Alligator mississippiensis: one gene and its partner. The protein of the gene in region 2 purifies or fractionates together with the protein of the main gene of each other region. This does not show direct contact. Links are inferred from orthologs where the notes say so. Each region holds a gene or a part of one and is shown on either strand. Other genes may lie near its edges. The genes, in order: LSM6 and LSM1.

Evidence for each region.
Region 1: the proteins of LSM1 (region 2) and LSM6 purify together in Homo sapiens (co-immunoprecipitation; 3 studies listed by BioGRID and IntAct, counting the BioPlex papers as one, with this or other methods). This does not show direct contact. The link is inferred for Alligator mississippiensis from reciprocal best matches to the Homo sapiens genes LSM1 and LSM6.

What each region holds. Positions count from the first base shown.
Region 1 is NC_081825.1:100,694,364-100,708,929, forward strand, and holds the start of LSM6 (U6 snRNA-associated Sm-like protein LSm6), read right to left. Parts: upstream 6,490-14,566; 5' UTR 6,382-6,489; intron 229-6,381; 5' UTR 219-228; coding exon 125-218; intron 1-124. UniProt on the Homo sapiens protein: Plays a role in pre-mRNA splicing as component of the U4/U6-U5 tri-snRNP complex that is involved in spliceosome assembly, and as component of the precatalytic spliceosome (spliceosome B complex).
Region 2 is NC_081830.1:18,346,342-18,361,540, reverse strand, and holds LSM1 (U6 snRNA-associated Sm-like protein LSm1), read right to left. Parts: upstream 7,135-15,199; 5' UTR 7,089-7,134; coding exon 7,043-7,088; intron 6,416-7,042; coding exon 6,347-6,415; intron 3,528-6,346; coding exon 3,412-3,527; intron 1,518-3,411; coding exon 1,347-1,517; 3' UTR 991-1,346; downstream 1-990. Other genes in the region: BAG4 (BAG family molecular chaperone regulator 4), read left to right, coding at 7,665-7,739, 9,024-9,131, 14,497-14,745. UniProt on the Homo sapiens protein: Plays a role in the degradation of histone mRNAs, the only eukaryotic mRNAs that are not polyadenylated. Probably also part of an LSm subunits-containing complex involved in the general process of mRNA degradation.

The DNA of each region.
Region 1 (14,566 bases), on a different chromosome or scaffold from region 2:
CATCTAAATTACGGCATTATCTTGTTTTTTCTTTTTTTTAAGTAACAGACTATATTTCTTTTTCTCTCATCAACAATAATACTAAATATTACTTGTTTATTGCAGGGGTGAAAGAAAGACTTACCTCGATAGTCCACTCCAGAATTTAACTTTACGACAACTGGCCTTCCTATTATTTGTTTTAAGAAGTCACTAGGGGTTTGCTTCCGCAGGCTCATTTTCACAGTCCTGGTAGGTTGGGAGGGAAAAAAAAAGAGGAGAGGCGAAAGTACTTAGATAAGCAACTCAAATACAGAGTTTAAAGATTCAGTAGCTAGAGGCAGACTTGTGGCTCTCAAGGCATTTACCAGGGAAAAGTTACCCAAGTGGATAAAAAAAACAAGGAGAAAAGACTAGAGCCACAGCATGAAACTTTCCATTTAATTTATTGCAATTTACGAAGTTCATAACAACTTTTTACTATAGTAGTCTTACGAGAATTATGGGAACGAGAACTGTTAATGAGTATTTTCAACGTCAAAAAAATACAGAATTGCCATACCTTTAACATACAGAGATGGCTTTGCTGCCTGGCAGGAGCAATAATTTCAATAAAATTAGAGTGAGCATTCAGAATCAAGCTTTGTCATTTACTAGTCCAGAGATCAAGGAGAATATTATCATCTCATAATACAGGGTATAATGTACAAGTTTAATTTTATATATGTGGGGCAATTTGAACTCAGAAGCTGGTCTGGGTTTTTTCTGGACGTTCTTCTAAGTCACTTTGATTTTATTCTTTCATTTAGGTATTCTCTTTCTACAAGACATGTTCATTTGTTTTTTAAATCCATTGCACAGTGGTACATATGCAGCATCTGCATCTACTAAGACATCCAAACCTGGCTGCAGTTTGGTAGGGAATGTTTCATCCTAAACAAAGGAAATAGGCTTGTTAAGATTTTTAAAGCTATTTATCAATTGCCCTCTTTTTTCAGATTGGAATGCATTCTGGAATACATGTTAAAGACCTGCTAGCACCATTTCGGTACATAAATCATTATGAGAAAAGCAGTTCTGAGTACTTTCTACCACGTATAGCCATGATTACTGTACTTGCCCAAATATAAGATGACCCTGAATTTAAGATGACTCCTCCCAATAATTAGATTCTACACACAGAATATGTATAAGTTTACTATAATTCTCCATGTATGGAATCTAACTACTGTAGATCTTAAATTCCTCCTCCCCCCCCCCCCCAACTACTGGGGGAGGGGCAGGGAGACACGATGAGGGGACAGTAATAGGGCAGGCAGGGGAAGGACCAATGAGAGACAGGCAGTAGGTAGACACATGGTAAGGGACATGCAGTGCAGAAGTGGGGGGACAGGCAGTAAGAAAGGCAGGCCTCCAGCTGTCTGTTCCCTCCCTCTACATACCCCATTGTGTCTGCCCGCCACAGCCTCAGAGCCCCGATCCCCCTTCCCCTATTCCCCCTCTACACAGCTTCTGCCCCCTGCAGCCTTGGGTCCCTACCCCCTCTTCCTCCCATCTCCCCAAAGTCTTTACCCCTCGCCTGCCCTTCCATTTGCCTTTGCTGACAGCTTGTCACTACTGCAGGCAGGGGGATTGGGCACTGGTTCCAGCCTGGCCCTGTAGTAGCAGCTGCAGCTCTGGCTCCAACCCCAGGTTAGGGCCAAGGCCAGAGCCACAGCAGCTGCCTCCCCAGCCCCTCACACTCAATTGTAAGCCAAGGGGCCTTTCCCCAACTCCACCTCCCATATTAGATAGGTGGGTGGGGAACCTCATCTTTTAATCGAGTACATATGGTATTTTTATAGATTGTACATAGTACACTGGACATAATCTCAGTTTTTAAAAAATCATATATAGGACTAATCTGCATCAAGGCTTCTCATCTGCAAAGTTTCACTTTAATACAAACCTCGCAGGAACAATATTTTAAAGAATTAAAAGTATCCTTCCCAATCATTTATTTGATGTATATTAATAGACTCTGTCCTTAATGACTGCACTTATTTATAGGCATTTCTGCATATTTCATCACTAGCTTCCAAGTGCAATGCTTCACACTGTAGTAAACATCTCGGGTATATCAACACTTTTTCATATAAAATTGTGCCAGTTTTAACCATGCAAACTAGGCTGCTTTCAGAAAAGTAATATGAAAAAAAATAGCTGTTCTACCTGGCTCAGTATTTCTAAATGTAGATTAAAGTCCCTCTTAACATATAAAGATATACACAGACATCATGCATCTCTTGCCACAGCTGATCTGTTATAACTGAGTGAAACACACATCACCTATTGCCCCACTTACTGATTCTGCGGGACAATGGGCAATATGTTCCCCACTAGCATAGCAGATGCACCCCGGAGAATCTCTGCAAGCAGAGAAGGCCAGTGCGGGAAATTGGCTGATTGATGGTCCCAGCCCCAGGACCACACCAGAGCACTGAACTTGCTCCAGCGCAGTGCCAGGGCTGAGACTGCTGATTCCCAGGGTGCATCTGTAAGTGGGCAACACTTTGCCCCGTGTCCCATAGGAGCAGTAGGCAGGACAACAGGCAACATGTTTCACTCAATGAAGGAGATCAGCTGATTGACAGTCCCAGGCCTGGGACTATACTGGATTGATGCGCACCCAGGGAATCCCAAACAGAAGAACGCAGGTAGATATTCCTGAGGCTTCAGAGGCCTGATCCTCCATGTCCCAGGAATGGGAATTCCTGCCTTAAAGTAAACAGATATTTGCTGCAAAACAGTGGCACAAAATCATACCACTTATGTCACACCACAAATGTTGGGCACGTGTGGCGCAACAAGGTGCATGTATATCTGTTGGCTTGGCCTTTGTGCTGCCATAAGATTTTTTTTTTGGTGTCTCAACGCAACATCTGTTTACACCTTAACATCTCTGTGTGCTGTTTTCAGTGACACTAAATTCTAGACTGTAGAAGACATTTTTAATGATTTGTCTACATTCATATAATATTGTTTAAAAAAATATCAGCTGGCCCTTCCTATACCTCATTAATAGCCATAAAAAATTATCCAAGATGCTCTTAACTCTGGGCTATGTTCCTGTATCTAGTTTAAGGCAATTCTAATACCCACCTGCTTTTCACCCTTCTACATTCTCAACTTCCAGAAAATGAGTTCAGTGAAGAGTAGCAATGCTAACACTGTTCATCATAGCAGAATAGGGCCTGTACAACCCTGATGGAAGCCAACAGCATGAACACAGTCCTTTTACAAAAAAATTCTGAACATCCTCATATCTTAGAGATCAAGGAATTAGAATTTAGTCTGTGTCCCTTCAATCAAGGGTTCAACTTTTTGCAAAGGCTGGATGGCATCTAAACCTAGTGTCTCAATAGAGCATTTTTCCTTGTACTGTGATAACACACCTGTAGTCCTCACACACTACAAAAGCTCAACAGAAAAGTAATATGAGAAATGTATTTCATGTACTGTAACTGTTCATGGCTACCCATGTTTTGTTCCTTACAGAAAATGAATAAACTCAATTTATGGCAAAGTGGGCTTACGCCATTGGATCAGAAATTAGTACTGAAAAAATGGGAGACCATCTGAAATAATGGTCCCACACAATAATAAAAGAAAATTATTTTAAAACCTTATATCAGTGCTCTCTCACGCCACTCAAAATTTAATGCTTTTATGGTAGAGACAAATGTTGGAGGGAGTGTGGTTGTTTGGGGAACATTCCACTACATGTGATGCACATGTCCCAGAATCAGACTGTTCTGGAAGCAGGCTGGAGACATGGTGAAGGAAATAAAAGGATGCCAACTAACAAGATAACCACTTAGTGTTCCTGTTGAACCTTCCTATGAACTCTGCACTTACAGAGGTCACAAGGAATTATTCACTCATCTTCTAACGGCTGCAGGAATTACAACTGCAAAAATCTGAAAGATGACAACTCTAAAATCAATGGCTAGTTTCCAAACGCTTGGTAAATTTTAGTGATAGAAAAGTCCCACCAAGTCAGTGTTCTGCAGGGGGTGGGGAGGACAAGACAACGCTTACTTGGAAATCTGAAGGAGTATTTTGGAATTTACTTACAAACAATCTTCTACCTTCAAACCAGAAAAAATCTGAGAGACTTTAACTCTCCTCCTCTGTTTTTCAACATATGATTAGTCCTCTTCTCTCTTCTCTGGACACTTTCTCCCCTGCAACTTAACTCCCTTTTCCCATGGACCAGATGCAGGTACTAGTGGATGGCAGCTCTGTAGATGCCTCATTTCTCTTCCTCTTCAGTAGTTGAAAACTACTGGCATTTTTACACGTGCTCCAGGGTGCTTTAATTAGAGCAGCTCTCCAAGGGCTTTAATTAGGGCTTCAATTAGAACAGCTCTCAGTTAACAAAAGTTTGTCTAAAGTGCCCCTGCTGCCATTTTGAAGTGTGGGGACACCAGTACACAAGAGGTGGAGGCTGGATGGCGCACACTAATTGGCAAACTCCATCAGACTCAATTAATCGAGTCTGTAATTTCAGCATGTTGGAGCAGCTTCCCAGCACATCTACAGACACCCTATAACAGAGTCAGCTGCCATGTGCTCATACCTAGCTGCTTTACATGCTCGAAGCTTTCTACTACTGATAGTAATAAAATGGATATTAGTAAAGACAGCCAACTCTAGACAGACTACTGACAAGGGTTCCGGTGAACACCAGAGACTAGTTTGTAAAATACATAGTCTGTGACAAGCTGCTGAAAAATGAAATTCCCTACCAACTTATTAACATATTACTCTGCAATGTGAAAATAAACACAGATTCATAGATGTTAGGGTCGGAAGGGACCTCAATAGGTCATCGAGTCCGACCCCCTGCATAGGCAGGAAAGAGTGCTGGTTTCAGATCACTCCAGCCAGATGCCTATCTAACCTCCTCCTGAAGACCCCCAGGGTAGGGGATAGCACCACTTCCCTTGGGAGCCCATTCCAGATTTTGGCCACTCTAACTGTGAAGAAGTTCTTCCTAAATGTCCAGTCTAAATCTGCTCTCTGCTAGCTTATGGTCATTCTTTCTTGTGACCCCCCAGGGGCACATGAAAGAAGTCATCACAAGAAGATGAAAGGCAATAAAAGATAAAGCTCAGGTGTGACTTGACAACACCAGCTAAACCTTTCAATCAGTTTTTTCATCAACAGATTTTTTTTGGGGGGTCCTTAATAAACCCTTACTAAACAGGCTTGGACAGTGGTTCTCAACCTTTTTAGGCTTGAGGCACCCCTTGATAGACCCGAGGCACCCCTGGGAAAATGCCAGCTCTTAGATCTCACTATTTTTTCACCAGAGAAAAATAACAGAGCAATTCTTCTGCTGCAAAGACCTCTGCAAGACCACAACAGGGCAGAACGGCTTTGACACTGGGTTTCCATTTGAAATCTCCGTGTTTATCGTATGAACGCTGCCTGCACACCAAACAGTGCTAACACTCTACGGCACCCTTAAAAGGGCCTCAAGGCACTCCAGGGTGACGCAGGGCCCAGGCTGAGAAACACTGCACTAAAGGAAGAGTTATTAGAAGAGGAAAGAGCTGAGGGGAAAGCCAAAATCCTAGAAGAAACCCAAGGCTGGCAGTAAACACAAAGCTGGACATGAGCCAGTCGCAAACTGCCTGCACAGGTCTCAAAGAGGCCACTGTGCACCTAATGCTGGGCACCTCCGGACCAGTACGGGGGAGAAAAATTAGCAAAACAGAGCCAGCAACAGCCAGAGCCCCTCCATGACACATGTGAGATGATCCAAGTGGACACTGAGGTGCAGCTCCCCAGGCAGCTGGCAGGGGAAAGCAAGGAGCAGGGGTTAGTTATCAGCGGCTGTCCCAGGAGACGGAAGGGGCAGCAGGAGACTGAAGAAAGGGGCAGCTCTGGGGAGCGGGACGTGGATCTGCTGTCGGACGCTGCAGTGGGGGGGGGGGGACCGAAATGCACCTTCCTAAAATAAAACTGGACGAAAACTGCCTGATCCTCGTGTTGTGCTGTGCGGCACAGATGTAAAGCATAGGCGCATGCACACACACAACACACATGCATGCAGACGCATGCACAAACACGCGCACCCGTTCCCGTCAGCGCCCGCGCAAGGGAGGGCAGGGCAGGGCAGGGCAGGGCAGGTCATGACCCAGCGGGGTGCGCGCGCAGCAGCCGACCCTGCCGCCGCCGCGGCATGCGCATGCGCAAGCTCGGCCTGCGCGCCACAGCACCGCGCCACAGCATCGAGCCACCGCTCCCAGCCTGAGGCGCCCCGCGCCCAGGCTACGGCGCCAGGCAGTTCACTGCCGTTGGCCGGCAGCGGCCCGGCCCCTGCCCCTGCCCCGCGCGCCCTAGCTCGCTCACCCGCGCGCTGCTCCACCCGCTGGCTAGGAAAGCTGCCGGGCGCACGAACAGCCAATCAACGCCTTGCTACGGCGAGCTGCCGGGACCAGAACTCCCTGCTTGGACAAGAACGCGTTCTGCTGGGGACTTGGGGCGGGGCCAGCACGTGAAGCCGCTGCGCTGCTCTGCGCTCGGCAGGGTCCCGCCCCCGCCCCAATGGGATCTGCCCATTGCAAAGCTTCCGCACCCACCCTCCAGTGCCCTTTTTAAGGGTCTGAGGCCGCTGCTTTGCTGCCTTGGGCTCCGTGCACGGCGGCTCAGCCAAGCCGAGCCCAGCCCAGCCCAGCAAGTCTTCTTAGTCCAGGGGTGCTCAGCCAGGGTGTCTTGGCCCAGTGGTACCTGGGATCCTGTCCAAGCTGCTTCACAGGTTGAGCCCCGGGATGGCCCCTAGGAAGCCCTGGCTGTGGTTGTGCAGCAGAAACCCTGCCCTGCTACTCTCCTGTCCTTAAATAAAGAGCGAAAACGAAGAGCTGGGGGGGTGTTGTAGCCGTGTTAGCTTAAGGACATAGGCACACAAGGCTTTTTCAATAAATGATATCTTTTATTAGACCAGCTAAATAGTTAGGGAAATTGTTCTTTGCAAGCTTTTGGGCACAAGCACCCTTCTTCAGGCACAGGAAGAGTCTGTGGATGTTTCGTGCTCTCCTGGATGGAACAGAAGCCAACGTGTAAAATGCAGGCCTGCAAAAATGCAAATGCAATGGCAGCGAGGATCAGAGGCCATGGGGGACAAGAGGTGTGAGGCAGGTGTAGGGGTGGGGGATTATTGACCTGGTGATAATGTAGCTGGTAAAATGTAGAGAGGTTACCTGGGGTTATTGAAGGTCAGGCAGATTATAATGTACTGTAAATCTAATGTCTGTTTAGTCCATGATTTTTTGTATCCAGTACATTGAAGAAGTGAAGTTCATAGGCTCGTCTGTGAAAGGTGTTTTGTACATTATCTTTGAGGATGAGAAGTGAGAGACTGGAGAGAGAGTGGGTGTGTTGTGAGAAGTGTGCACCCACAGGTGCTTGGGTATTTCTGTCTCTCATAGATTTCTGGTGTGTGTTCATTCTGGTGCACAGTTATTTCTTGGTTTCTCTTACATATTTTCCATCAGGGCATGTAGTGTGCTGGATGAGATACAGAAGAGCTGGCATTTCCCAAAGGCTAATGAGTCTAAAAAGGTTGAGGACCTCAGCCTCCCTCTCTGCCTGCTCCTGCTGCTAAGACGTGGATGCCAGCAGTCACCTTAGTCATAGTCAGCTGCTGGTTTAATACAGAAGGCCTCAGATTAGAGTCCAAGGTTAAAGTCGCACGTTCTGCCCCTAAAGCTCCCTCTTCTCTTTGTGCTGTGAAGTGTATGCAGACGTGGAATTTGGAAAGGGGGCATGGGGACGGTGAGGTGCATCATCACATATAACAGCATTTATCTTTCTTCAGTTAAAAAGAAATTAGAAGCTTCATGTAGACACTACAGGCCTAGGGCTGTGTTACTCAGTTTAAGAATGAAGCAAAAGCAAACCTAACTTCATAGGAATGAGTTAAAAACAGTCTGCAAAGCTGAGAATTAGGAGCTTCAGTATCAGGAGCAGGGAACAGACAGCAGAATGGCAGAACAAAGGATAGCGTTTTTGGTGGAGCATCAAGACCCATGGAAAGAAGCCATTAACACCTGTGGAATGAAGAATTTAGATGGAACCAGGTGGGATGATACTGAGCTATCGAGTCAATTGACTCCCTGAGCAATGCCTGACTAGAAATGCTGCTGCTACTGCCAGGCAGTTCATTTTAAACTTTGTGTAGAGCAGGAATCAAAGTGGGGTGTGAGTGCACTCCCTCGGATCTGCCCCTGAGCTATGTGTGCTGGGGCATGTTTGCAACCACCTCTCCACGGGCAGACTTCTGCTAGAAGAGGATGGTAAATCAGCCCTTCCTAACATGGGGCTGTGAGCCAGTAAGGAAGGGTGTCCTCCCATTCAATTTGCTGGTGCTTTCTTGCAACACTGTTAATTTTAGATCCCTGCAGAATGTGCATCCTGGCCCATGCTTCTCTTTTCAGAGGCTGTAAATATTTTTAAATGATGGTCAACTTTCCAAACCACTGACTTCTTTGTCTTGCTTTTTTTACTATAGCTGGTCATACCTGAGGTGCTGGAATGCCAGAGGAAAGGTAACATTGCAGGTGGTGTGATGTGAATGCCTTCCAGCCATGCTCATGTTTGGTTCATATACCTGCTTACAGCTGATATTAGAACATCTCCCTCATGCACTGTTCACCCATTAGCCTAACGGTGCTTAAGATGAACTGTATTTGTACAAATATTTTATTTCTATTTATTATGTGTTGTGTGGGTGCCATGCTTATGAAAGATGCTTGATTGATAGCAGTGGAATGTACTCTTTTGTTTTCAAAGCAGAAGTTGCAGCCGTTCAAGCTCCTTTTATTGCAGGGGTGTGCAGTTATTTGGGCCCACAGGCCATATTGGGAGTTTTGGTGAGCTGTTGTGAGCTGGGTCAGCACTCCCCTGCCTGTGCAACATCTCACCAAAACTCCTTATGTGGCTTTGCTCTGCACATGGCAGGGTGGATGGGATGGGTCCGTGAGCGAGCAGGGAGCAGTGTCCAGGAGTGAAACAGGCAGGTGAAACTGGGATCACAGGGCACATTGTGGGGCATTGACAGCATGGGGCCAGGGTAAAGCCACGATCCACTGCTCTCACTGCCCTGCGTCCCGGGCATGGGTTCCACAGGCAAGGGGTGTGCAGGCCCCAGCCCCATGCTGTCAGCACCCCAAGATCCTGGTCTCAGCCCTGGACATAGCCCTGCTGCGTGCCCAGAGGTGGCAGGACTGGGCATAAGCACCACAGCCCAGGCTGGCCCCTGGGCTGGGTGGAACCAAGGGACCTGCCACAGGCCAGAAAAAAATCCCTCAGTAGGTTGGATCCTGTCCAAGGGCCATATTTTGCCCACCCCGTCTTACTGAGTCTACAGCATGCTTTTCAAGCTTTTCTGGAGGTGTCTACTCTAGGTTTAGTGCCATCTAGTCTAGTTAATTCTTTCTGTCTATTCAGCATCCCATTCTTAGTTGTCATGCCATGACTGCCCACACAACATCTGTAACAGTGATCTTGTTATTATGAAATAATATAACAGTAGTACTTCTATAACAGTGGTGCTTAATCTTTAAGCCCCTCAGGCCAGGGGAGTGGTGAGAGACTGGGGAGTGGTGAGGGACCAGTCTATGGGCTGGACCCGATGCATGGAGTTGGTCTGTGGGTACCATCTGGTATACTGGCCTGACACCACACATGTCCCAATCTGGGACACCAGATCCAGCCACTCACCATCTTGACCCCATGCACCAGATCTGGCTACTGACCAGTCTGATCCTGCTGCATAGTGTCTGATACCGGTCTGATCCTGCTGCATAGTGACCGGACCCCATGTTCCAGATCTGGCTGCAAACTGGCTTGACCCCACACACCAGCATAATTTAGTACACAAGGTATGTCATCTGGCACAGAGCTCCCCATGGGTCTGGAAATCTGGCAGCAAGGAAGCTGCAATTAACACTGCCACCACTCCCCAACTGCCAAATTTTTTGGACCCATGGCAGCACCCACGGACCAAATGACATACATGGCCTTTCAGGCTGGAGGTTGAACATCCCTACTCTATAAAGGCATGGCATGCCAGTAGGAGGCCTCTCCACCAGTTAGGGGTCTTGGATCATTATCACTGGATGGGAGGGGCTGCTACTTGTTTAGCATCTTCTCCCAGTTAAACTTGTCCCAAAATACAGTTTTTCCCCAGGTATGCATAACCCTTAATCTCTGTCATTCTTCTAAAGCAGAGCCACAGCTGTGCCTGTACTGAATCCATCTGCTGCAGTTCCCTTTGAATTTTTCCACAATATGTTGGGCAACAGAATCTAGCATGCTCTAAGTTGTTCTGAAACAAAACTGAGATATGAAGCATCCCGCTTTTCAACCTGAGCTATACAGGGTTTTAAGAAGAGACCCAAAGATTCTTCCTCATCAGATATCCAAGGTATTTAAATTAAACAGCAAACTTCTGAAAAAAAATCTCCCAGAATTGTTCTCTTGTCATCTTCTTCAACAGCAAAGGAACAGTACTGCTCAATTTTCCCATTAAGAGAAAGAGAATTATGCACAAATTTGAAAGGTATAGGAGGGGAAAAAATAATTGTCAGAATTTTAATGTGCATTATTTCCTGATTTGCTGAAAGCTACTCAGGCTCATAGGAAAAAACTCTTACCGCTTAAATCTGAGATTTTTATACTGCATTGCATTTCTGTTATATATGACGTGTAACTTTGCCTTGTTAAAGACCATAAGTCATATCTGTTTTAGAATTATGACAATGCAAAAGCATTATTGATTTCACACAAAGCCACTAAGAAATGTGCCTGCATGTTCTGAGGGTAATTCACCTTTCAAATCTACTGAATCTTTATTAGGTAAATTCTGATTTGTTGATGTGGCTGTATTTTTTTATGCCTTACATTTATATTAGAAAATAATTTATAGATTTTTTTATGGAAAAATTATCTGAAGTGGTATCATAGCCTATTCTATTATATAACTGGAATGCTATTAATACCAGAATATTTTTGTGCGTTATATGATTCCTATTACCAAAGCATCTGAATGTCTCAGTCTTGACTCTGTTAATGTGAGAGAGAAAATTAAGATGTGAAATTAAGTGACTTGAACAAGGTCACCCAGAAAGCTTGTGAATTGAAATAGTGTTTTGCTGGATCCAGGCTTCTACTCCTAGCAGTGAGCAATCTTTCCTTCTCTTTAGGGCTTTCATATCATGTCAGTATGCCTTGGATTCATTTATGCATGTTCTCAGATTGGATTTTATTCTCATCCAGACTCTTAAATAATTCTTATATTAGTATATTATTAAAACTATAAATAAAAATAAAGAAAGGAGAGCAGAATGTGAAGGAATATAGGTTAGTGAATATCCCTCTCTCTACTGTCTGGAGCCATTTCCCATATCTTTTTATTATACTCTTTGGTGATATCTTTTCTCAAAGGGTTAGGTAAGAGAGATTTAACAAGCGTGGTCTATGAACGGGATAAAGTTCACCTTACTGTCCTAGGAGTTCAGGAATGGGCAAGGCCAGGGAAATGGAGCCACATTGTGATTAGGTTGCCAGGCAACCATCATATTAATCAGGAGCCTCCAACTGTGCTTGATTATATCTAGTAGTTGAAGCAGAAAAAGAACCTAATATTGTTACTATTGGGAGCAGCCGTACAAGGTTTAATTTGGCCACTAGTCTTCAGTGAGCAATAATTTTGATGGTGAAGTATTAGTTTTTCTGTTATCTTTAATCACCAGGGTAAAGACTGGGCAAATAGATTTTGTGCCTGGACTGGTAAATTTTTGTAACACTTTTGCAAGCCTGGCTCAAGGGTGTTTGTGATTGGTGGGCCTTCCATTGCTGCTGTTTACACTAGTATCTCTGTGTGAATTGCATTTAAAGGAGATGGGGTTTGTGCATTTACCTTTAGTCCTCGGAATCCTGACATACACTGTCTGTTAACCTCTTGGGTGCTCTGTAGTCAGAATGCTCGTATATTTGATGCTACCTTCTGAAATAGCTTTGAGTTCTTGCTTAATATCCTAGTGATCTTATGAATTAAGTTGAAGGTAACTCCATCCACTACTTGACCACTTTCAGACCTGGGAACTGAGTCTTGCTAACTCTACAGCACACTTGGCTCCTATCATTTAGGGTTGAAGAGACTGCGTCACATAGCCAGAGCCTCATTCTTGACCTTGATAACGTGCAGTATTTAGGGTATGAAGGTGTTTTATGTGTTGTTCTTTGTGATAAATTGCCCTCTGTATAATACGACCCCTATTGTCAAGCATTTTGCTGTAGTGTGATTTGCACCTGGGATGAAAAGCTGTTGAATACCTCTGCTAATATATTCAGAGGGATTATGTAAGCGCATCTGTTAATGGGCAACCTAAAAGAATGCTACTTTGCCTGAGTGACAAAATCTAAATAACCTCAGAAAGGTGGTCTTCGAAAGATTTCCATAATCCATATTTAATTTACTTTTTAAAGGTTTCAAAGTGAAAATAAAATTAAGACCTAATCAGCTAGTGATTACATCTTTTTTTGTCTCAGCCTTTCAGATGAAGAAGGATTTAGATCTAAAAAAAACTTTGTGTGTTTTGCTATCAGTAGATTCTTTTAAATGCCATATTGCTTTAGCCTTTCACAGTGAACTTTGATAAAGCTTTTTCAGTTTTATAATTCAATGAAATCAGTGAGAAGCTGCCCTTGTGTTTTAATCACGATGAACTTGAAAGGTGAACACTGTAAGTGGTAGAAATTATTTATAATTTGGTAATAAAAGTTTATGTCTAACACTCCAAATTTCATACATCTGCTATGTGCTGGCCTTGAGGTATAAAACAATTGCAGTTGCCTTTACATTGGCCTTAGCTGAAAGGTCATAAATTACAGTGATAGAGTTCGTAGTCATTCCCTGCTCACAAAATTTCCATATTAACATCTTCACCTCAAATATAAATGGTTACAAGGAAAAGAGTTGTGTTGGCCTTTGTCAACTACGCTTAATGATGGAAATCTGTGGTACGTATTCCTATTCTAAACCTTAAACACAAGGCATTTCAGAATCTTTGCGCAGAGGACATAATTAAAACGTTACAGTCAACTTTAAAAAACAAAGTGATATTTGACACACTCAACTCACTCGCTCTCCTTTTAATACAGTAAAAACCGATTCAAAGATAAGATTTTTCCAGCTGAAAATGAAAAGTCTTTCCACAGAGGGCTGCACAACTCAGAAAATGAGTTTTAAAGAGTTCTAAACACTGCACTGTCTATTGCTTATGAGAAGAAATACTTAAATACACAAGAACAACAATTATGACGACAAGATGATTTCACTAGCTGATTTTGGATTCAGTCTGAGCACTTCCAGTTTATAATTAGTGGAAAATAGAGTAAACAGGATGATACAGGCAACAGTAGGGTCTTAGAAGTTGAATCTGTTCTGCTGTTCAAAGAACAGAGGAAATTGTGGCAAAAAATCAGAGAATCAGAAAATTAGGGTTGGAATCCCTACCTCAGAAGGTCATCTAGTCCACCCTCCCTACTCACAGCAGGACCATCCCCAACTAGATCATCCCAGCCAAGAATTTAATGGAAATTCCACAGCTTCTATGGATAGCTTATTCCAATGCTTTACTACCCTCCTTGTGAGAGAGTTTTTCCTAATATCTAACCAAAACTTCCCTTGCTGCACCTTGAGACCATTGCTCCTTGTTCTGTCATCTACCACCACTGCGAACTATGGCTGTGCAAAATTTCAGCAGCCATTTCATTTTGGAGGTGTGTCAGGCCATTTTGGTGCCTGAAACACTGAATCCAAATCAAAACAGAAGGCCCAGGAACATCTCCGAAACAAAGCGAAACATCCAAAATGTTTCGGAGATGTTTCAGAAAATTTCAGCGTTTCAGAGCCAGGCTTGCAGGGAAACAACTGTATGCTGCTGCTCTGCTGCATGACTTGGCTCTGCAGGGAGCAGAGATCCGCAAGGGGGGTCTCCTCGCGCCACTGCCTGCCCCCCGCTACTCCAGTGACACGGGGCTGCATGGGGCAGGCAGTGGCGGCAAGGAGACCCCAGCATGGATCTCTGCTCCCTGTGGAGCCAGGTCATGCAGCAGGGCAGTGCTGGTCCCTGCCACACAACCTGGCTCTGCAGGGAGCACAGATCTGGGGCTGCATGGGGTGAGCAGCAGTGGGGAGGAGATCCCCAGTGCAGATCTCTGCTCTCTGTGGAGTCAGGCTGCACAGCAGGGCAGTGCTGGTCCCTGCCGCATGATCTGGCTCTGCAGAGAGCACAGATCTGGGGCTGCATGGGGTGGGCAGCGGCAGGAAGGAGATCCCTGGGATGGATCTCTGCTCTGTGCAGAGCTAGGTCATGTGGCACAGCAGTGCTGGTTCCTGCTGCATGACCTGGCTCTGCAGGGATCAGAGATCCACGTGGGGATCTCCTCACCTGCACAGAGGGCAGTGGCCCTCCCCCGGACAAGCCACTCATGGCCCTGTCCTACTCGCCGCTGAGGCCCTGCAGCCCCA
Region 2 (15,199 bases):
AACCCACTGTCCTGTTCCCTGCAGACAGCTAGAAAGATGGGGTAGGTTAGCAGGAGCATGTTTTCTGCCCATACTGACCAAGCTGCTGCCAAAGATAAACCTTACAATTACTACTCTGAATCCCAGCAATTGACGGTGGCACAAAGGCATGCATTTATAGCTCCCCCTGGAGGAAGGCTGCACAAGCCTCACTGGGGGGCCCTTCCTTTCATCCACATGGAAGCAGTCTTCCCTGCAAAGGAGATTAATGGGAAGAGGCTTCAGAAGTCTGGCAGCTGCTTGCAATTTGGTAGTCCAGTTGTTTTGCCACATGGCATAGAAAGGCAAGAGGTACTTTCTTTGACTGTAGTGCTTCAATGCTGAGAATATCCCAAATCCAGCAGACAAACAGGTACCTCCCTGCCATCCAGCTCTTTGCAAATTGAGCCATCTAAGCAAAACTAAGAGATTGCAGAGATCACATTTAACACTCAAAATGAAAGAAGCAAAGCAGTTGGCACACATCGTAGAGGTCAGGCTAGATGGAGTTAGGCCTGGCAGACTTAGCAGACAGAGCCAATAGATTAAGTCAAGTGCTGCAAGGCTCAGTTCAATGGAAGAGGAATGGTTTGTGTTCACAAGAGCACTGCAGGATTTGGGAATGGAAGAGTTACCACAACAGGCACGGTCTTTAGAGTCACTTTTCCGACAAGGCAGTGGTGCAGAAAGGTTAGATCTGCCAAAGCTGCTACCAAACACCGACTCGAGGTTGTGAATGCTGACTCCTGCTCTTCCTTCTGGAAATACTGTCTTTAAAGTTGTGAGGCAGTAGCTTTCTGCTGATAAAAGAGGCTTAATCCCACCCCTCAGCTGAGTTTGTCGTTGGCAGGAAGCATGCTCCAGGTCGCCCTAGGTCCACTGCCATCCCTAGCATATCCTGTAGCACCTCAGCAGGGAGAAGTCCAGAGAGACGCGAGCACAGTCAATTCCGAGGCCAGGGACACTGTAGGCTATATTATCACGATCCAGGTTTTATTTACATGCTGAGGAGCAGATACCCTCGAGTCACAGATAAACAGAATAAAAACAAAAACAGAACAAAACACCAGGTTTCCCTGAACACGTGCTCTCAAGCCCTCCAGAGCACACAGCCTTGTCAGCACACATTCAGACACCACCAGAATGTCTGTGCTTCAGAAATAAGGATTACAAAACAAGGCATTTTTTTTTTAACCAGTTTCTGTGCTACAGAAAACACATGCTCAAAATGAAGAGCCAACTTTCAAAGCAGAGCTGCAAGGGCCCCATCTGCACACAAAGCACTCTGCTTGATCTGAGTCATGGAGACTGTCCATAGGGCACAACACCTAATACTCATCAAGGGTATCTGCCCGTGGGATGGAAAGTCCCCGTTCCTTCAGTGCCTGCACTTTTAACTTCTCTGACTCGTGCTTGGCCTGCTGTTCCACCCGCTGCTCCTCCAGGATCTCTTCTATTGAAACCTGCTGCAAAGGAGTGTCACTTTCCTTCTCCAGGTCCTGCAAGAGAAACACTGGTTAGCTAGCATTGTCAAGAGGGAGCTCATACCAGGACCCAAGGTCCTGCTGTCCAAGGGACAATCTGGACACAGGTGAAGTCAAACACCTGGAGATTCAGCCACATGCACAGCCATGTGTGACCATTCATGAGCCTCCTGGAATTTCCTGTACTGGGCAGGAGCACAGGAGGACTTAAGGGAAGGTGGAAGAGTACTAGGAGGTCCAGCTCAGCCCAATGGCCAAAGAAAACTTAGGTCAGTGGCTTCAGCCTTTCCTTAAGGCTATCAATACCCATACATGCTGCCACTCTCCATTTGACATGCAGCCAGCCCTTAACAAGAGGCCACATGGCCTAACAGACCTGGAAGCCAGGAACAATTGAGTTCTCCCTCCTGGTCTGGACAAACTTTTTGGCCTTGGAAAAGTCAGAAAACAAACACCGAATTACAAGTGGGGGGAAGACTAAGTGTGCATCAGCTGCTCTGCAGAAACAGTTTAAAGGTGCCCACTCCTATCCCACAAAAAGTGTGAACTCATCTGGGCCAGTGGACTCCAAAGGAAAACAGACTAAATAAACTTTGATTTATCATGGAAGAGCTGGTGTGAAGCTCCTCCTCCCCTTTACAACTAACTCAACAAATGTACTCATTTGCCCATACTATCACATTATCCCTGTGCGCCAGACCCAACTATTGGATCTATGACTTCAGTTACAATATTGTCCTTCATTTGGAAAATCCTGATACTTGAAAATACTTGAGAAAAGAGCATGTGATAAACCAAGCTATGCAGCATACCTACCCCCTCTCCCCCAACCTCCATCAGCATCAAGAACACTTTGGGTTTCCAGCAACACAAAAGTGTGTCCAGACCAAGCCAGAGGTGCAAGGAGGTACCATCATGCTGTCCACCACCCTGTTCCCTGGCTCACGCCATTATTCCAGTCAGAGGGCCAGGGAAGATGATACACCAAAAGGGACGGAGTCAGCTCGTTACAGAGAAAGAGCTCTCCTTTCACTCAACAGGAGCATCACTGTTGGGAAGCAGGGACTGATGCAATGTACATACTGAAATCACGGAGTTTGCTTTTCAACTGGTCCTTAGCAGTTTCATAATGAACCTACTCTATTGTCCTCCAACACAACCACAAACTGATATCAGTCTAAAACATCCCAGTTCTGGAGATCCACTCACCAGAGGACTGCATGTATTCGAGGAGTGCCTGCAAACAGGAGGGCTATATCCCCACTCCTCCTGTTTTTTAGCTTAAACCATATCAGGTTCAATATGGGACTGGCAGTTCACTCACTTCTCAACACTGAAAATGCTGCATTGGGTAATGTCTCAGAATGGGGGAGGAGGAACCCCCTCCCCCCCAATCTATACTCCATCTTTGTGCAGTGCGACTTGCTTAGCGCAACACTACTCACAGCTAGTGCTGAGTGGGTGGGATTGAATGACAGATTTCTCCAGCACTCTGAAGTGCTGGGATAAAATGTGGTCTTGTAAAATGTATTTAAAAGGGTAGACCAGCAGAGCTCTAAGGATATTAAAGACAGGTGCTCAGTCACAGGGTCAGCACCTCTTGCTTACAGCCCTGTGCCAAGAGCTGAGCCAGAGTATTACCTAATTCCCCTGGGCTTGGCTCAGTATGTGCGCAATGGCATTTCACAACAGAGACTTGGGCCAGCTCCACGCTTCCCCAAGTGCGGAAGGGATACACCCAGTGTCATCTGCTTGTGAAACCCAGCTCCAATAACACACTTGCTGGTAATGCTTCTCAGAGCAACTACAGCCATGAGCTGTAAGAGGCAGGGATCATGTCTAGGCAGTCACCAAGCCAGTGCTGCAAGCCAAAGAGCACACCACAGACAAGCAAGAGATGCTTACGTACTATTTCCCCCAGGAGAACGACGTTCTCTCCTCTCACAACAAAGATGCCACGTGGAATATCCCCATACTTCTTGCCCACGTGGATGCGCTCCACAGTCTGGTGTAACACTAAGTTGGCTGCAGAGAGAAAGAAATGCACGTTACTTCGCTTTCTAATGCAAGAGGAGGTCCTGTCTGCACTAGCAAGGGGAGCTGCAGTTCTAAAAAGCAAAGGCTACCCACACCTGGCAAAGCCACCTCCCTGCCTCAAGGCTTCTCACTCCAGCAAGAGCAGTTTCATCCACCACTTACATGCAGCATTTAGTATGACAAAAGTATACAGAGACCCCAGCTGCACCATACTGGGTGCTGTACATCAATGAGGGGAAGTGGCAGCCAGGAACTGACATGCCTAAGAGTCTGGTGCTTCTCCACTACACTATATCTGGGAGGGACAGCACTGGGACTCCACATTTAACATTACCTCTTACAGAAAGCTCCACTGGTTCGAACAGTTCTGCTATGGGTTTCAGAAGTTTCACTGCAGCAACGCAGTACCCCAGCCCCAGAGGTCAGAGTCATTATCTGCCTATTGATCAGCACTGTTTGCTGCAGACCACGATTGATTAGGAGGTCTCTCGTTGCAGCTATGCTTATCCTAGGATATGAAACTCAACTGTCAGCCTCAGAGATGATCAGAACATAAAATATGTTTATATTTAGGGTGACTGGCTCCTGCAGAGTTTGACATCAGTGTTTGTATCAGCCCTTCAAAAACATGGCCTTCCCTGTGTCTTCAACAGCCATTAAAGTCCAGTTGTCCCATACTGTTAAGAGGGTTTCCCTGGACATTCACTGAATAAGGAAGGAGATGAGCATTGCCAAACAGAGAGGGTAAAGCCAGAAGAGGAAGACACATGGGCCAGATTTCAGAAAAAAGCTTTAGCAAGCCATGGACAGCAAGAGCACCTCCACACTGTTCTTAAGTACTTTTTTGTCATTGGATTTATAAGACCTGCAGCAATAAACACCTGCTATCAGCACCGCACCTTAATTGTAAACCAGCTGATCTCAAATAAAGCCAGAAGCTGCTCTCCATGTGAATTCAAAGAGAAGATTACCCCAATAAGAATATTAAAAGTGCTAGTTTTCAAATGACAAGAGAAATGCAAAGAAGGTACAGGCTGCTGATTCACACCACTCAGAGTACAGTCAGTGCTTTTTTTAAGTCCAGATTGCTTGGAATCAAGGAAGCAGGCAATGCTGCTCATGACTGGCACATGAGCAGAAGCAAGCATTGTTATTCTACATGGCACATCTGTTACTCTCCACAACATCACACAGGAAGCCAATGAAACAGGAAATACTTGTCAAGTGCAAACTTGCTGCTTACAATTAAGTCACTGCCTCTTTAACGGGCAATATAGCTCTTCTGCTGAACTTGTACTGAAGTGCTCATCCTGCTCTTTATGCTAATGACCAACACCCTCTGCCCAGACTTGATGAAGCAATCATTCAAGAACAGATCAGACAAATCCATGCAGGATAGGTCCATCAGTCAGCATTAAATAGGATTGTCAGGGGTGCAGCCTCAAGTAGCACTTGCCAGACCACTGAGTGCTGGAAGCTCCAAGGGAGGAGGGGAAGGGACTACACTGGATTCTGCATTGGCCTTGCATAATAAGTGTACCTTCTCTTTGTGTCTACCCTCTGCCACTGAGATACAGAATGCTGGGCTAGATGGAGATACAGTCACACCCAGTGGGGCCTCTTATGTGCCCCATGGGATCCAAGGTTTGCCAAGTCACATTAACAGAAGTAGGACAGGAGCTACAGGTTTGCTTTTGCTCCCATCTTAGTCAACAGAGAAACTGGGCTCTGTGCAATGGGCAATGAACTGTGCCCCAAGATTAACGCGAACTCCCCAGCTCTGCTTTGATTCATCCCAGAGCACAACGGGAAGCAGCATAGTCTGGAGGGTGATGCAAGCCTGGGAGTCCGATTCAAAAAGCTGGACTGTGGGAGCTCAGCTGGAAGCCAAAAACCCAAGCCTTCATGAAAGAGCTGGGTTTAAGTGCTCTGTACTACAATGGGGAAAAAGTTCATGCACAGCTGAAGGTCTGGTGTCAGCTGGACCAATGGCCAGAACTCACAAGCCACTTCTTAAAATGTATCCTATACATACACCTCTGGATTAGGTTACGCTATTAGCAGTGTACTACAGTTATAAAACCTCTCCCCCACAACCAGAAAGCCTAGTGCCCCCCACTCCAGGTGAGCTGTTCTGCTCTTCCTGAGCACTTCAGGTACATCACTTAGTGGCTACTTTTACTAGCATTCAAAATATCTGGGCCACTTGGCTCCCTGCCACCTTGGCCATTCATTATGGGGCACTCTTCACCAGGCATGTGGCTCCCTCTTGTGGTGAAGTTAAAAAAATGCCAAAATGACAACACTATTTTATCTGAAAAGCTGAACTGGAGGATTCCAGAGCCAGTGAACTCTGAACAGAAAAATAAAATAAAAACACCTCTTTAGAGCGGAGTCTGGATGGCTAACTACCAAACCAGAGCATCAGGAAGTGTTTAAGCATGCAGCAGGAGATGAAGGACATGCACCTAAAGGGAGAATTGCTCTCTTTTCTTTGTAGCACTCTGTACTCCACCATCTGACACCAACTTCTGTCCCAAACAGTTATGTGGGAAACAACACCCACTTCTAAAGAGCACTCCCTGCTTTCTCCAAGGCTACATGAATCCTATTGTGCAAACACAATTCTAACAAGGCGCAATGCTTCTCCCCGTCACATGCCAAAAGTTGATTCCTAATCATCACCCATAAAATGCTGGTTTGCACCGGGCCAGTTTTGTGCAGTACGTTTGCTGGTTACAAGGTTAGAGAGCACTCATAAGAAAGCAGGGGGCTTCGACCAAGACCAAAGCTATGCTGTCACCTACCAAACTGGTCGATGCTTCTTAAGTATCCTATCAGCGTTCTACCATCGCGGAGCAGGACCAAGTGCTTTTCTGGAAGACATTAAAAGCTAGGTCAGCAGTTACATGCAAGGCAACAATCATCATCATCATCAACATATGCACTCAAGGAGTAAGTGGGCAAGAAAGCTTTCCCAGAGCGCCACATGAACTTGTGCCCCTCGCTGCTGCTGCAGGACCTCAGGGGCCAGGTATTCGCCTCCGTCTCCAGGGCCTCAGTCACGCAGCCTGAGCACCTGCAGCTGCTAGGAAAGTCCAGGAGCTGCAAGTCAGGCCACCAGGCTGCGAGCACCAGGCAGGCAAATTGAGGAGGAGCTTTTCTTTATGCAAGAGTTAAAGAAAAAAAATGAAATTTTTAAAAGGGGAAAAGAACAGGAAGGGGCACGGAGGAGGGTGGAATATTTCTGAAGCACTGGATTCCCGCAGGTCTCCTGTACACTGCGCAGGCTACACCTGCAGTACAGATGCAGGGAGACAATAGCAGCAGCCAAGGGGAAAGGGGGCACAGCGCAGCGGCGGTAAGTCTGCTGGGGTGATAGGGGACGGGGGGCAGTTTCACTGGACAGAATCCACCAGCTCCTTAGGCCCCGTCGCGGGCCTGCGCGGCGTGCTCTGCTCGGGGCCCCCTCGGTGCACTAGTTGCTAGCCGCCGCCACTCACTGTCGATGTCCTGGATGAGGCTGGCAGTGCCCGGCATGTAGTTCATCCTGCCCTACCCCGCCCCACCCGCGCAGCAGGCGCCGCTACCGCTGCCTCACCGGGCCGCTTTACGCACTGCCGGAGCCGCCTCGCCCCGAGCCTGATTGGCGGAAGCGAGAGGCGACGCACGGGCCCCCGCAAAGCGATTGGCTGAGACATGCAGGAGGCGGGCTGCGGAGTGGACAGCCGCCCCTCTGATTGGCCGCGCTGTTGGACAGGGAAGAAGCTTGGCGATTGGCAGGGGATGACGGGAAGGAGTTCGGTGGGGGGGGACAGGCGAGAGGGGTGATGCGCGGTGCCGGCGCCGCTGATTGGCTGAGGAGCGCGGGCCCAGGAAGAGGTCGCGAACGGCGTCGCTGATTGGCTGAGGAGGGGAAGCGGTTTGGGGGGTGGGGGCGGCCGTGAGAGAACGGCGCCGCTGATTGGCTGAGGAGGGAGGCGGCCCGTGAGAGGTCGAGGTCCGGGGGTGGCCGTGAAGCGGAGGCGCCGCTGATTGGCTGCGGGTCGTGGGCCGGGTGCGGCGCCGCTCGTGTCGGCCCTGCGGCGCCTGCTGTAGGAGCCGTCGCCCGCCGCGCCCTGGCGTATGGAGCCGCGCGGCGGCCCGCAGCCCCGACCCGCCGCCTGGGCTGGCGGGGGCGGCTGGGAGCGGCCCGCGCAGGTACGGGGCTGCAGGGAGGCCTGGGGGGAGCGAAGGGCTCGCAGCTGCCTGGGCGCGGGCGGGGCGGGGCGGGGCGGGACAGGGCGGGCCTCGGGCAGAGCCGGCCCCTCGCGCCGCCAGGTCGAAAATAGGAAATTACCGTATTTAGAGGCTCAAAATTACCGTATTTACTGAAAAGTTACCGCACGCTGGAAAAAAAATGCAAATAAGTCACCTGACAAATGTTACTGATTTCGGAGAAATTCTTAGGGGAATAGCCCGGGTGTCGCCGTGCACTTTTGCTGTCCTTCCCTTCGTCTGGATGCTTTTCAGCTCCAACGGAAAGGACTCTTTGGTTGCAGACGTCCTAGGACTGACCATTTTCTCCCAGGACAAAGTGCAGCGGTTCAGACGTCCACATCCATTGCCCCAGGTTAAGAAGTACTAATGGTCTGTCCCAGCACATCGCAGCGCGTGTCTGAATGGTTATCCCTGCACTGCATCGCTGATATAACGGCAGAAAAGCAGACGTGCGGTCAGTTGGCCGCTAAACCCCGGTTATTGAAGGGCAACGTGTACGCCCCAGTCCTGAGATATTTCCATTCCAGGACGACAGGGACAGCTAGCCTCTGAGCTGCCAATGAAGAGAAGAGCTGTGCTGAGAGGTAGTTGAGCTCAATTGCTGCTACGTTCCCGGGTCCTTCAGCCTATTGTGCAGTTTGATTAAGCATTTCTTGTGTGATTTCCATACTTGGGAGCCTGCGTTGAGTCAGTTAGCACATCGAGGCTGCTGTGCCATGCTTCCACTGATGCCCTTGCTCTTCTACAGCTTTTTCATAGATTCATAGATGTTAGGATCGGAAGGGACCTCAATAGATCATCGAGTCCGACCCCCTGCATAGGCTGGAAAGAGTGCTGGGTCTAGATGACCCCAGCTAGATGCATATCCAATCTCCTCCTGAATTTTCCTTTCAACAATTGCTGGAAAACGCCTCCTTTTCGCAGTGCCGTCTCGGCATGGGCAAGGGAGGAATTGTGAATCTGGCAGCCAGCCTGGAGAGGTGAGAAGGTCTATAAATATAGAGTGGAGTAGCATTTCATAATAGTTTTGAGGCCATAGTATGTTTTCAGGCCCTTCCTTGCCATGGCGTGCTACAGATATAGCGTGCAGTTGATTATTACTGTGCACACTCTTCCTTTGCAGCTTTCCAGCATGTTTTGCGGTGAGTTCTCTCCCCGTTATTGAGAGGGTAGGTAATCTTCTGCTAGTGCTTTTCTTACCTCCTTTTCCCACCCCACCTTTAGGAGCAGCCACCGTATCCTGGATACACCTCCAGCTACTGGAACTCCACGGCCCAGTCCAGAGCTCCCTACCCAAGTCCCTATCCAGCTGGAGCTGAGTTACAAGGCCAGGTACAGTTGGGCAACGGACCTTCCCATCTTGTTTGCTGTGAAGCAGAGGAATTTGTCTGGTTGGGTGGGAGTTTGAGCCAGAAGACTCCAGTCAAAGGGCTGGTTTCCTCCCAAACAAAGGGACCAGCCATTTTAGAAATGCAGGGCTTGCATGGCAGACTTAGGCAAGCCCTGGGGACTTCTGCTGCTTCCTCCGTGTTGCATTGGCTTCAGGAAATGCTACTTCCTAGATACCACAGCATTATATTGAGTGTCAGCTGGAAGCTGAAACTTGAAACACCTGCACCAGCCATACTTGAAACTGTGGCTGAATCCCCTTGCCTGCTGGTGCTGGCTACTTCTAGATGCTCTGCACAAAGCACCATGTCCCATTGCCAGTGAACTAACGGTAATTGGAGTAATTATTTTTACACCGGTGGCCCATGAATAATGCTAGACCCTGCCAATGGCCTTCAGCCAAGGATACTTAAATGCTCTGCATACAGTTAAAGCAATTAGTTGTCTCATAGCACCTATACTAAGGTATTAATCGTGTTTTATGAGCCCTTGCTCATAAACACTGGGGCAGGGCGTTGTAGTGACTTGCCAAAGGCTGTGCAGTGAGTCAGTCCTGGAAATGGGACAGAATCCAGGTCCCAGTCCCTGCTGTGCATTTTGGGTTGCCCTAGAAATTGTGACGTCAGCATGGGGCTCCAAGCAGGGAAATACCTTTTGCTGCTTGATACTAGAACAGTCCTTTGAAGTACTCTGCTGCTTTTCCCTCAAAGCCCGTGGATAATGTCATTGCCTCCTTGCCTAGACCCGATGGTTGGAATTCTTGGTTTCCCCCAACACTAGGCTGTATCTTCCGGTTTCTTTATCCTGTCTCCTGAAGAAACTAGCATCCATCTTCACCCAAGCGAGAGCTTTCCCAGCATAGTGGGGACCTGCGTGAAAAGCTTTTTTCCATGCCAAAGCAATCTGGCATTTTCTTTTCCTAGTGCTCCGAACAGTAGCTAAATGGCACTTCCTAGTGACAGGACAAATGCTGCCTCAGGGGTTTCATGCTCGCATCTAACGCTTGAGCCACAGCAGTGAATTCTCATTGTGTAGGCTGCTGTAGCACACAGTGCTGGGGCTTGTTTGCGCCTCTCACCACCATTTTCCACTATAGCTGTGCTGGGAGTTCTCCTCTGAGCACTCCCAAGTTCTTGGTATCTATTTTAAAGAATGATTGTGACCATATTGCTTCCCTGGCAGTCTTAAAGTATTCTCATGCTCATAAACAGCGAAAGCATTCTTCGTGACTGGGGAAGCAGCATTTCACACGCTCAGTTTAGCAGATGCAAGCCACATAAGAAAAAGAGCTTGAGCTGTGGGGCCTACAGAGGCCAGCTGCTATTTGGAAATTACTGTGAGCACTAATGCAGAGGTTTTCCACATGTGCGCGGTGCCCCTCCCAGCGAACCTAGGATGCTCCTACAGTACGTGTAACACACCTTGATCGTAAACAGCAGCATTGGCGTATGGACACTCGTTACTAAGCTAAGCCAGTATATTCTTGGAGAAAAAGATCCACTGGTTCTGAAAAGGAACACCTTTGGTTATTTCATCTTCTCCCAATAAGCTGCATAATGATATTTTGGGTTTTCCTTCGTTGTTTTTCCCTACTTTTCCCTCTCCAGCTCTTTTTTTTTTTTTAAAAAGCGGAGTAGAAAAAGAGAGGGGAGTTGGCAGCAAGGACAAATAGTAGAATTTTTTCCCAATTCCATCCAGAGCCTTGCTATGTTTTGTAGACATTTCTAACTTCAAAAGTGTTAAACAAGGAAAGCATAGTTTGAAAAGTTGTGGCTGAACCTAGGATTCTCATTGCCTTGAGAACTGAAGGAGCTACTCAGTAGGCCTAAGGGTGACAAACCCTCAGGGAACACATGTGAGGTAACACGCCATGGTCCCCACTGCCAGGTACTTTACAGCCAAATAAGCAGGGTTCTTCAGGCAAGGCCTGGGGCTTGGAAACTAGCATGGGAGGACTAGACCTTGGTCAGTTCCTCCTTTTCGGAGAGATTAACACAACAGAAGGTGGGAGCCATGTGAGCAGGAAAGTGTCTGCCCAGCAAAATTACCAACAGAGAGTAGCTAAGAATCAGCAACACTGGTTAGGGCCTGAATAAATAATAGTAATGAAGTGGTCTATCCCCAGTAGAGGGCAGACATTAACCAAGAGATGCCCTGCCTCTGCAGAGGAAGGGAAGCAGCAGAATACAGTACTTTGTATGTTCTGGTTCCATAACTCGCCACATCTACAGGAGACACTGACTGCAGTATTGCTGCGCTGTAGCGTCACATGGCAAAAACAGCGAAACGACACTACAGTGAAGTAGTGTCACAAAAAAAGGCATTTGCTGGCGCTGCTGCGCAGTAACTCAGGTCACTGCACATTATTTTAGCACTTGCTTATACAACTACTAAATAAACGTGCAGTAACGACTGTGCAGTAGCATCTGGTGTAGATGCCCCTGCTCTGTCAGGTCTCTCCTGTGCTGTTGCAGGGGTGCCTTGCTTGGAGGAAGCCGTGCACAAACAGCAGGAAGAACACTTTCCCCCCAAAAATATATCCTATAAAAAGTTCAGACAGAGGTGCATGATAGAGATTTTTTTGGGCTGATACCGATAGCTGATTTTTAAGGAGGGATATCGAACGATACCGATCCGATTTCCGATACAGCTGTGTGCAGCTGGTGAGTCCATTGTGGGGGGAGGGGAGGGGAGGGAAGAAGCGTGGTAGGGCAGATCAGTGCCCCCCACAGTGAGGGAGGGGGTAGGTGCTGATCAGCTGGGGCGGGGTGACGCACAGGACAGAGCCTTGGATCCTCTGGAGGGGCGGGGGTAGCTCCTGCCGCTGCTTGCACCCCAGGAGGGCATTTGGGGGGGAAGGGGGGGCACATGCCCTCGGATCTGCGTGGGGCTGGCAGCCTGCAGCTGCGGGCTGGAGCCAAGCTCTTCTTGGCAGGGGCTGGGCTCGGGAGGGGACTGCAGCCACCCCAAATTTCGCTGTAGCTCTGCCCCCAGCACCACTGCCACAGACCTGACACAACGCCCTGCCTCCACCCACGCGCCGGGAAGAGCTGGGGCTGCGGCAGTGCTGGGAGTAGGAGTACAGCAAAATTTGTGGTTGGCTGCAGCCCTCTTCGAAGCTCCCACCTTGAGCCCCAGCCCCTGCCAAAAAGAGCCTGGCTCAGCCCTGGTTCCAGCCTGCAGCTGCAACCTGCCCACCCCACACAGATCTGGGGGCAGATGCCCCCCCCCAATGCCCTCCTGGGGTGCAAGCAGCGGTGGAAGCCACCCCCGCACTCCCCGGGAGCCGTGGCTCTGTCCCATGCCCTGCCCCACCCCAGTTGGGCAGCACCTGCCCCCTCCCTCACCATGGGGGACATTGATCTGTCATCCGTCCCCCCACCCCCCACCCCCCATGCTCCTTCCCTCCCCTTCCGCCACAACGGATTTACCAGCTGCACACAGCTCTGTCCCTCGCTGCCTGAGTGCTGCGCTGCAGCCGTGCGCGCGCACGAGCATTTATCGGCCAAATTATTGGCTGCGTCAGGCTGATTTCTGATACAGCCAGTTGTCTTTATATGGGTACTGATCCGGTATGAGATCCATGCATCAGTGCACGTCTAGCGGACAGTCCTGGACTGAGCCACAGCTTTGAAGTAATGCTCAGCACCTACATCATGCTCTTCTTTCATACAGCTTGAGGCAGGATTTTGTTTGTTTTACAGGGTGGAAGGGAACTGTGACTTGTCTGAAGTCCAGAGCAAAGCAGTGGCAGACCCCTCAATCCTGACTGATTTCCATACCCAAGTGCCCCAGGCGTTTCACTGTGGCAGTCTTGTATTCTTCCACTTGGAGCAACCATCCCATCTCCCCTAGACTTCCCTTGGAGACAGTGGCCCATGATGCTGAATCACATGTAGGTCAAATGCAATTTGTGATCAGTTTCATTGCCACACAATTCTCAAAGATTTCAAAACTGCCCGAGCCCTTCAGGGGAAATTTCTTTTCCATAGTTTAGTGAAAAAGTAGGCTTGACTTTCCAGAAACCAAGGGGCCTGTGATGGGAGCATGTGACCAAGAGCTGGGCCAGCAGGCCAGAGGTCCACGCAGCTAGAGAGGTCTGTGGGGACAGGAGGTCCTGTATGAAAGTCTTAGGACCCAGGCAGAGGGCTCACAAGGAGCAGAAACCAAATAGGAAGGATGGGAGGACAGTGGGCCCGAGTAGGACACCTCATTGTATTTAATGTTTCGGGCTGGACACAAGTTGGGGAGCCAGTATAACTTATGCCGAGAGGTTCTTACTATGTGCAAGTTGCTTGCCTGTTTCATGATAAATTGTTGCTAATGCTGGGTTTCATTTATTCAGAACCCTGAATTTAAAATGTTTCACATAACCATGTTCCTAGGTAAGACCCTGTCAATGTCACCCCCTGGCCCTGCCTAAAGACAGGGCTCTGGTCCTGAGGAGACAAAACCAACTAGCAAATTTGGGCACTTCTCTCAGAGACCTGCACTGCTACAGACCGTAACAGCAGCCTTTCTGACACATGGAGCCCTCTGCTCAGCTCAGGCTGATGTCACTGCATTCTGTATGCTGTATCATTGCCCCCCTGCACCCTGTTGCCAAGGGCCTGGGAGTGGGTCACTGATGTCCACTGTTGCATGAGTACATGGCAGGTGACCAAGATAGCACACAGTGTCTCCAGGAGGAGCTCTTGGTACTGCTGGGAACCTTCCAGGCTTTGAAGCCTCTCTGTCCACAGGCTGTAGGCAGTCAAAAAGCTTTAAATGGTCAGTGAGCTACTAGAGCTCCAGACTGGGTCTGAAAAATCCAAATCTCTAGGGCTAATGATGATGAAGTGGATTCCAGCAAGGGGCCAGAAGGAGTGGGCTGAGAGGAAAACAATGCTGTCCTACCTGATAGGGCTTTGGGAGGCTTCACATTTGCCCAATACTTAGCATCTGATCACAATCTCCATAAGGCTTAACAGTCATCTCCTCAAAGGAAGAGGCATCAGTTTCTAGATCTGTAATATGGTCACAGGCACTCCCCTGCTAACAGCCTGTCCTGTTTCTTTCTACCCCAGCATTTTTCCAATGCAAAATTTCCACCCTTACTTGCACAGTAAGATCTGAATCCCCCAAGTGAGGAAGTAGATGCATGGAACTATCCCTCAGCAACCAGATTGGGTTGGATACCTTATTTCTTGACTTGTAAAAATTAAAATGCTGTTCTTACTGCTGTCCAAACCATTCTGCTTCTGTACTCTCAGACCTAGAAGCCCAGAGCCAGTCCAGGTTCTTAGTACCTTCTCTGATTGCTTTTCAGGGGCTGGATTCTCCCTACACAAATGGAGGCTATGGCACCCGTTACCCCTCGGCTCCTGCACACTATCCCAGTTTGGCACAATCAAACACTTACTACTCCTCTGGGCCCCCACAGCCCCCTTACCCTGCAGAATCTGCAGGCATGTACAGGTCTCCATCACCAGCTTCTCACTGGAACTACCCCACAGCAGACTGCACAGCAGAAAGCTCCTCTCTCAGGAGACACGTCCCAGGGTATTCCCCACCACAGGTAAGGAAGCCAGGACACAGACAACAATGGGTGCTTCCTCTGGAAGCCTGCCTGGGGTGGGCAATGCTCACAGCCAGGTACTTGGTGGTGCTGAGTACAGCCCTCCTCAACCAAAGCCTGGCAAGTGCACTGCAAAGTGCAGCTTGCCTCTCCAGCTACCAGCTGCTAATCCCTGAGCTCGAGAAACAGACTCCACAGTTCCTGCTTCTCACTATTGTCAGGTACCAGTTGAGGATTGGGGTTACCAGATTGGAGGACCAGAGCATTAGAACCAGTACTGGGGAGCCAAAGTCAATGTTAGGGTTAGCAAGCAGAGTCCAAGAGCAGGCTGGGGCAGGAGCAAAAGTCAAGGATTAGCAAAAGCTGTTCCTCTCCCCTGAAGTAGAGAAAGTAGTTGGCCAGTCAACCGGGTACCGGGGAGGGTGATAAAGGACTTATGCAGGTCCTGTCCATC